2 linked regions of the Drosophila melanogaster genome follow. The protein of the gene in region 1 purifies or fractionates together with the protein of each later gene. This does not show direct contact. Each region holds a gene or a part of one and is shown on either strand. Other genes may lie near its edges.

What was found.
Region 2: the proteins of TfIIFalpha (region 1) and TfIIFbeta purify together in Drosophila melanogaster (affinity purification with western blotting; 2 studies listed by BioGRID, with this or other methods). This does not show direct contact.

The regions. Positions count from the first base shown.
Region 1 is NT_033777.3:6,378,621-6,383,155, forward strand, and holds TfIIFalpha (transcription factor IIFalpha), read left to right. Parts: upstream 1-1,846; 5' UTR 1,847-1,975; coding exon 1,976-1,999; intron 2,000-2,065; coding exon 2,066-2,985; intron 2,986-3,061; coding exon 3,062-3,649; intron 3,650-3,707; coding exon 3,708-3,909; 3' UTR 3,910-3,984; downstream 3,985-4,535. Other genes in the region: CG1024 (uncharacterized protein), read right to left, coding at 1-1,334, 1,398-1,544. UniProt on the Drosophila melanogaster protein: TFIIF is a general transcription initiation factor that binds to RNA polymerase II and helps to recruit it to the initiation complex in collaboration with TFIIB. It promotes transcription elongation.
Region 2 is NT_033777.3:10,765,916-10,769,573, forward strand, and holds TfIIFbeta (transcription factor TFIIFbeta), read right to left. Parts: upstream 1,890-3,658; 5' UTR 1,785-1,889; coding exon 1,248-1,784; intron 1,183-1,247; coding exon 886-1,182; 3' UTR 707-885; downstream 1-706. Other genes in the region: CG45076 (uncharacterized protein), read right to left, coding at 2,302-3,121, 3,187-3,388. UniProt on the Drosophila melanogaster protein: TFIIF is a general transcription initiation factor that binds to RNA polymerase II and helps to recruit it to the initiation complex in collaboration with TFIIB.

The sequences.
Region 1 (4,535 bases):
TTGCTCCTAAAGACTCTGTCACAGTGCTCGCACACAGCTTGCTCGCCCTGATCGTCCTCGGATCCGGCGTCATCCGCCATGGCCGCTTGACCGGACTTGTTGGGACTGGCCCACATGGGCTCCGGCTTAATAAGCAGCTGCGTCTTGTTTTTACGCTGCAGCTCCTCCTGGTGGTTGTAGCGAATGTGATTGAGGATCTTTGAGGTGCTGGTCTTGGTGCGATCGCAGAGTGTGCACTTGAGGTACGACCGGTAGGGCAGATGCTTGAAGCAGTGCTTCTGCAGTTGTGAGCGCACGGTCGTTGGTTGCACCTCACGGCACTGCAGGCACATGGCCTTGCGCCCGGACTCCAGGATCTTAAAACTGTTCTCGATTATGTGCTCGAAGTCGTGCTTCTTGAATACGTGTGCCCGCCAACCGTCCATCGAGGCGATTTCCTTGCCGCACTTCGGACACAAGTACGATATGAGCTTCGTGAGGCCGTTGGTGGACATTTCCGTGTCTGAGTCGCGGCTGGGCGTCGTAGAGATGCGTCGACGCTTAGTCGGTTGACTTATTGGGTCCGACTTCATTTCCTTCTTCAGCTGGGCCACTTCCTCCTTGCCGAGTGCATCGATCTCGATGATGACCACCTCCTGATTTCCTTGCTGCAGGTGCGCATCGTCTTGCTGCTGCTCCTCATTAGCTTCTCCTTTGCCGGCGGAGGGGCCATCATCAAAAAACTCCTTGCAGAGCGCATCCAACTCGTCGTCATACTTCGGCACCACCTCTTTCTCCTCCTTGCGCACGATGTCCTCGTAGGCATTCAAACACCGATCTAGATTCAGCTCGCTGACATTTGAAATGGGCTTAGGTTCGTTTACAGGAGCCGCTAGTGCTGTCACTGGGGACTTTTCCATTTCTGTGTTCAGATCAATGTCCATCAGCGCCTTTTGCAGCAGATCATTTTGCTTTCTGTTCGTGGAACCTTTGGGACGCCCACGCGGCTTCACAGCCATCGGCTTCTCTGCATTTCCAGCTGGTGCGGCCGCTGTAGTGGGTTTCGCCTGCTGCCGCTTCATCTGGCGCAGCTTGTTCTCGTACTTCTCGATCTCCCGCATGTGCGTGTCCAGTAGGTGGACGTTCAGAGCCCGGCGCCTCGTGTACGCCATGCGGCAGTGCACGCAGCGGTAGGTTTCACTGTGCTCCAGATGCATAAAGTAGTGGTACTGCAGGAGGGCGATTGTCTTGTGGGCATTCTCCACCCATTTGAAGCACAGCTGGCACTCATGGAATCGCTCGTCGATCTGGATGAAGTTGAAATCTGAGTACGTCTTCTTTAGATAGTCGTGTTTCTGTGGGCACATTTCAAACCATTATTAAAGCAGAACTTGATTTGCACAAAACCCGCAACTTGCCGTGTTCAGATGCTGTCGCCACTCCGCCTGAGTGCGGAACGCCTTGCCGCATTCCGGACATATGTAAACCATGTGCGCCTCCAGACGCGCATTAAGCCGACTTTGTTCATCCGAGAGCGTCACGTTCCGCGACATTTTCCCTAACATTTAAGCGACAAACTGCAAATGAAATCCAAACAAACTAGACAGCGCTTTGTGAATTTATCGTTATTTGCTATGGCGACAATCGTTTATCTAAAAAGAGGTAATCGATAACCGTGACTGTGAACGGATATCGGCTGTCACTTTATTTTGATAGAACATTACAAAACTTTGAAGTTTTTAAATACCTTGTAGGGCTTGAATATGCAATCTTATAATATCTACTTTTCCAATTTGTTTATCAAAATCTCTTGGAATAAATATTATTTTTCTGCCCAAACGATACGATACACTTGCTTCCAAAGAATAACTGCACTTCTGTTATCGGACATCGCTAGAAAATCCAACTTTTCTGCCCGCGCCGCGAATTGTAAGAGTTTGGGGAAAAGTATAAAATATCCAGATAGAAGCAACATATGATTAGCAAACATTAAGCCATGTCGAGCGCGTCAAAGTCGACGGTAAGTCTTTACCCTGCCGCTTCCGGCGCCAACACTTATTTGCGGTCTTCGCTTGATTTCATGCAGCCGAGCGCTGCCAGCGGGAGCTCCACGTCCGCAGCTGCCGCCGCCGCAGCCTCTGTCGCCTCAGGATCCGCCTCGTCATCCGCCAACGTGCAGGAGTTCAAGATCCGCGTGCCCAAGATGCCCAAGAAGCACCATGTGATGCGGTTCAACGCCACGCTCAATGTGGATTTCGCGCAGTGGAGAAATGTGAAACTGGAGCGGGAAAACAACATGAAGGAGTTCCGGGGCATGGAGGAGGATCAGCCCAAGTTTGGTGCTGGATCGGAGTACAACCGGGATCAGCGCGAGGAGGCGCGCCGCAAGAAGTTTGGCATTATAGCGAGAAAGTACCGTCCAGAGGCACAGCCATGGATCCTTAAAGTGGGTGGCAAGACTGGAAAGAAGTTCAAAGGCATCCGCGAGGGCGGCGTAGGCGAGAATGCAGCTTTCTATGTGTTCACCCATGCACCAGACGGCGCCATTGAGGCATACCCCTTGACCGAGTGGTACAACTTCCAGCCTATTCAGCGCTACAAATCGCTGTCGGCGGAGGAGGCCGAACAGGAATTTGGTCGGCGCAAAAAGGTGATGAACTACTTCTCCCTTATGTTGCGAAAGCGTCTGCGCGGCGATGAGGAAGAGGAGCAGGATCCGGAGGAGGCTAAGCTAATTAAGGCAGCCACCAAAAAATCCAAGGAGCTCAAGATCACTGACATGGATGAATGGATTGATTCCGAGGATGAGTCGGATTCGGAGGACGAGGAGGATAAAAAGAAGAAGGAGCAGGAAGACAGCGACGATGGCAAGGCCAAGGGAAAGGGCAAGAAGGGCGCAGACAAGAAAAAGAAAAAGAGGGATGTTGATGACGAGGCCTTCGAGGAGTCGGACGATGGTGACGAGGAGGGCAGAGAAATGGACTACGACACCAGCTCCAGTGAAGAGTATGTGCCCCAAACGATTCTGATAATGGCAATACAATTTGGACCACATCTACTAATTTCTTATACCCTATTCTAGCGAACCAGATCCAGAGGCAAAGGTGGACAAGGACATGAAAGGCGTGGCCGAGGAAGATGCGCTCCGCAAGCTGCTTACCTCCGATGAAGAGGAGGATGATGAGAAGAAGTCTGATGAGTCGGACAAGGAGGATGCCGACGGCGAGAAAAAAAAGAAGGATAAGGGCAAGGACGAGGTATCCAAGGACAAAAAGAAGAAGAAACCCACAAAGGACGACAAGAAGGGCAAGTCGAATGGCAGCGGTGACTCGTCCACAGACTTCAGCTCTGACAGCACAGACTCCGAGGACGACCTTAGCAACGGACCGCCCAAGAAGAAGGTCGTCGTCAAGGACAAAGACAAGGAAAAGGAAAAGGAGAAAGAGAGCGCTGCGAGCAGCAAGGTCATCGCCAGCAGCAGCAATGCCAATAAATCTCGCTCGGCCACTCCAACGCTCTCGACGGATGCCAGCAAGCGCAAGATGAACAGCTTACCCAGCGATCTCACCGCTTCGGACACAAGCAACAGTCCCACCAGCACGCCAGCAAAGAGGCCTAAGAACGAGATTAGCACATCGCTGCCCACTTCCTTCTCTGGCGGCAAAGTAGAGTGAGTAAAGCCGTGATATACTGGAATTCCTAATTCTAATTTCATGTATTTTGTTTAGGGACTACGGCATCACCGAGGAGGCGGTGCGTCGGTATCTTAAGCGAAAGCCCCTGACCGCCACCGAGTTGCTCACCAAGTTCAAGAACAAGAAGACGCCTGTCTCCAGCGACCGTTTGGTCGAGACCATGACGAAAATCCTGAAGAAGATCAATCCCGTCAAGCACACCATCCAGGGGAAAATGTATCTCTGGATCAAGTAGCCCGCAGTCATGTGATTTTAATGTTTCATAACTCAAATGCATTATTGTTCAACACAAAATATAAACGCACCACTGAAAATCGGTTAATTTTCTTGGTTAATTCGAAAAGGCAAGTAGTATTTTGCACAGAAACTGATTTTAACCAATTCATTGTATTTGTACTTCTAGAATCTTAAAAACTAGTTATTAATGCTATATCTTAGTATTATATTTCTATATGGTTTCAGGTTCTGAAGTTGAGAATTCTAAATTCTGTACAATGATCTGAAACAGTTGCTGAGAATACTGGATTTTAATATTTTTAAAATTTTAGTCGATAGCTATCGAAATATGGGAGTAATCGATGTACGAAAACATCGCCGTCAGGAAGCCAGCAGCAGCTATACATCGATTTAGTTCCAGCTCTAGCCCTGTATATGTGTCTGTGTTCGGGTGGGATGTAAATTCTAATATCCGATAATTAGAAAAGTGAACCAAACCCAAAGCGTTCTTATCGCGACTGTCATGCTCTTTTCGCAGCCACTGCGCTGTCCCCGCTGAACCACGACCACCAACTAAAGGAACCCGAGGAGTCCGAGCCCCAAAAGGGAGCAAAACAAAGTACAACGCAATACCAGTGCGATGGC
Region 2 (3,658 bases), 4.4 Mb from region 1:
AATGTGCTTAGTAGTTCTTTGTAGATAAGATTCCTTGCGTCCTGACCCAGTAGTAGAGTCTAGTTTGTGTGCCCCCTTATTCGAATTCAATTTTTATGTATATTATTTTCAGGCCGAGAGATCAATGCGCTTTCCCATGCGGTACAACAAGATCAAGAGGCTGCATTAGATATATGTTCTTGCCAGATTATTTACCCGCAATCGTGTACAAATGTAAGTTTTAGTTACGTATTATTAGGAAGCTTGCAATAGAAAGAATGCTTTAGCTTAAGCTTATCGATGTATGAATCAATATTTCTTTAGAGTAGTAAACCAGTATTATCTAAGCTCGATTTTCCTAAGCATGAAGCCGTTTTTTAGTTTTTCTTTCACTTCACTTTTTTAACTTTTTACGACGCTTTTAGTTGCTTATGAAATTTTCACATTTTTATTAATTTCTATTTCTTTTGAACATTTTTGATTTATTTTACTTTACCTACGAATAGATTTATTTCGTATTCTTATTATTTCTATGATTTCCTAAAAATTTAACACTATACCTCCTTTGATTTAGAACAAAAATAGACAAATGACTTTTTGATTGACGAAGCGCGTGTTTTGGAAATCCTCATGAGCTGATAGTACTAAATTCAAGTACCTGATCTCGTCTGTACAAAAGTATAAACATAAGAACTCTTCGGACATAAGACAAAGTTCAAGATAAATTAAGGATAAAGTGTATATATACGTATGTATTTACCAGAGTGCAAGCTAGTGTCTATTTACAATCATTTTAAGATATAATGTTTTTTTCGTAAGTATAACGTGTAGTTCTTAAGGAATAAAACGGAACCATGCAATTACTTAATGTGTTTTAATGAAAGTAAGTCGGCGATTCTCCCAATGCTACTCCGAGTCGCTGCTGCCTGACTTGTGCTCCTCCTCTTTCTTCTCTTCAGTCTTGTAGTGGCGATATTCTTTCTTGAGCTCCCACATGTTCTTGTGCGGGTTCTTCATATTGTAATCGCAGACATCCTTGAGAATCTCCTTCAGGTAGCTAATCGGCTGGTTGGTGATCTTGACCAGATCCTTGATGTTATAGTATTGATGCTTCTCGAATGCGTGGAAGAGCATATCCATCACGGCATTCTTGTCGTCGCGCGCCTTCTTGCCCTCGGCCTTCTTTCGCTCCCGATATTCAATCTGCAGGAATGGAGGAGTTATATATACATATATATTACCAAAACAGAGTGTATTATTGTTCTCACGTTGTGTGCGTGGTCTTTTACAGGCTTAAAGTTCTGCACGATTTTGTCGATAGGCTGCACACGTCGCTGTGGTTCCGATGCCTTGCGTATGGACTCCAGCTTTAGTTTCATGTAGCAGTTGTCGGCGATGGGTCGGCACTCTAGCTTTTGCACAATCCTGCCCTCCATATACAACTTTTCGTTATCCGGCTGTGCCGCCGAGGTAGTCGAGTTCTCCTTGCCATCGGACGGTGCCATGTGCGAGAATACGCCGAGCGTCTGCTTGGTGACCTGCGACACGTCCAGGATGTGCTCGGTGGGTATTTTCTCCTCGGGATCTAGAGCCAAAACGGCGGGCGTGAGGGAAAGCGAGACCTGGGCCTTTTGGCCAGGTGTCTTGTTTATCCGGAGCTTGCCCACGTCCATGTTCGTCGGCGCCTTCTCCCATTTCTGGGCAATGTACTTGGGCACCTTCACCAGCCATACGCCTCGCCCAGCATTGGACAGGTCCAGGTCCTTGTCGATGATCTGTGTCTTTTCCTTATCCTCCTTCGACATTCTGTTTGCTTTAAATTATTAAAAACGAATTTGCAAAGCCACTTGTACCGTTTTCGGCTTTGCTTGTTGTTGTTGTTTTGCCGTAAATTTAGTGCGGTCGAATAAACAGTTTCGAAAAAATGCTAGTTTAGTATATCACGGTATTTTTCTTTCGGTATTTATTCGTTATGTTATTATTAGGCGCCAAGTTTGAAAAAGTCCGAAGTGCAGATAACGAAATAGAACTATTTACATATCTGAATTTTATATAGTTAGCAAGAACTTTAGAACATAAGAAATAACTTTTATAATGAAATGTCTTAGAAAGAATATGATATCTTAATTTTGATTTATTCAGCAAATTTTATGACTAAATTTAGAACACAACATTGTATTGATTTAAGATGAATTTATGAATTGATGTGACACCTTATCCAGCATTATCCACCCCATTGCCCTATTAAATTGTTTTTCTAATATTTTTATTGTTTTTTCATTCTTTTTAAATTAGGTTGACAGCATGGTGATTGTGTAGAATCTATTCCTCCTCCTCTTCCTCGTCCTCCTCCTCCTCCGCATCGAGATCCTCCTCGTAGCTATTACCACCAGTGGGGGTAACATTAGAGCCGAGCTCGATGATCGGTTCCTGTTCCTCAACGGGCGTGACGGGCTCTTCGACCACAGGCTCGCTGGTCTCGTTCTCGTTCTTCTGGATGGCCTGCAGTTCCTGGGCGGCAAGCTCGGATTCCTGGCGGGCGATCTCGGCCAGCTCGGCGGCCTGGCGAGCAAGTTCTCCCTCACTCTCCTTCTCGATCTCCGCCAGGCGCTCCAGCTCCTGCTCACGGACACGCTGCTCCTCCTCCAGGCGAGCCTCTTCAGCGACACGAGCCTCTTCGGCGGCCTTTTGGGCAGCTTCTTCGGCGGCACGAGCCTCCTCTACAGCCTTCAGTGCGGCTTCTTCGGCGGCCTTTTGGGCAGCTTCTTCAGCCAGACGAGCCTCTTCGGCTGCCTTTAAAGCGGCTTCTTCGGCAGCCTTTTGGGCAGCTTCCTCGGCGGCCTTTTGGGCGGCTGCCTCCTCTGCTAGGCGAGCTTCCTCAGCAGCTTTTTGGGCAGCTTCCTCGGCGACCTTTTGGGCGGCAGCCTCCTCCGCTAGACGCGCTTCTTCGGCAGCTTTCTGGGCAGCATCTTCAGCGGCTTTTAGGGCTTTAGCTTCTTCGGCTGCTTTTTGGGCGGCAGCTTCAGCCAGGAGAGCCTCTTCGGCAGCGATTTTGGCGGCCTCCTCGGCAGCCTTTTTGGCCTTAGCAGCAGCCTGCTTTTCGGCCTCAGCCGTCAGGCGATCCCTCTCCTCCTTGAGAGCCCTTCGGAAACATCAAAAATTTAATAGGAAATGAGCTATGAGCTGGTGTAGGTAGTGAGCACCCACCTCTCTTCCCTACGCTTGGCTTCATCGGCTTTCTGGGCACGCTTCTTTTCCAAGTCCACCTCGTCGAGAGCCTCTTCGTTAACGGTTAGAAGACGCTCCTGGCGCAGACGCTGTTTCTCCTTGGCCTCCACATCGAGGGGATCCTCCAGGGGCCTAGGGGCAGAAAATTTTCTAGATGGACGGTTAGGATCCAACTCGGCATCTGAAATGTAATGCTTGTCAGAAGAGCCTTCACCACAGTGCCTATGCATTTGTATCTTATTTTTCATTTTACATTAAATATCCTTCACTTTGTTGTTCACTCGGCTAATGTCATTATACATTATACTTATACTTACAATACTTACTCTTAGGATCGGCGATTGTTGGTTTTCTTATAGACGAGGCAAGGAAAATTGCAGATACAGTAGACGCCAATGTTTTAGAGTATTGTGTGGCATTAATGGGAGTTTTTAAAAAGTTCTGGGTATGA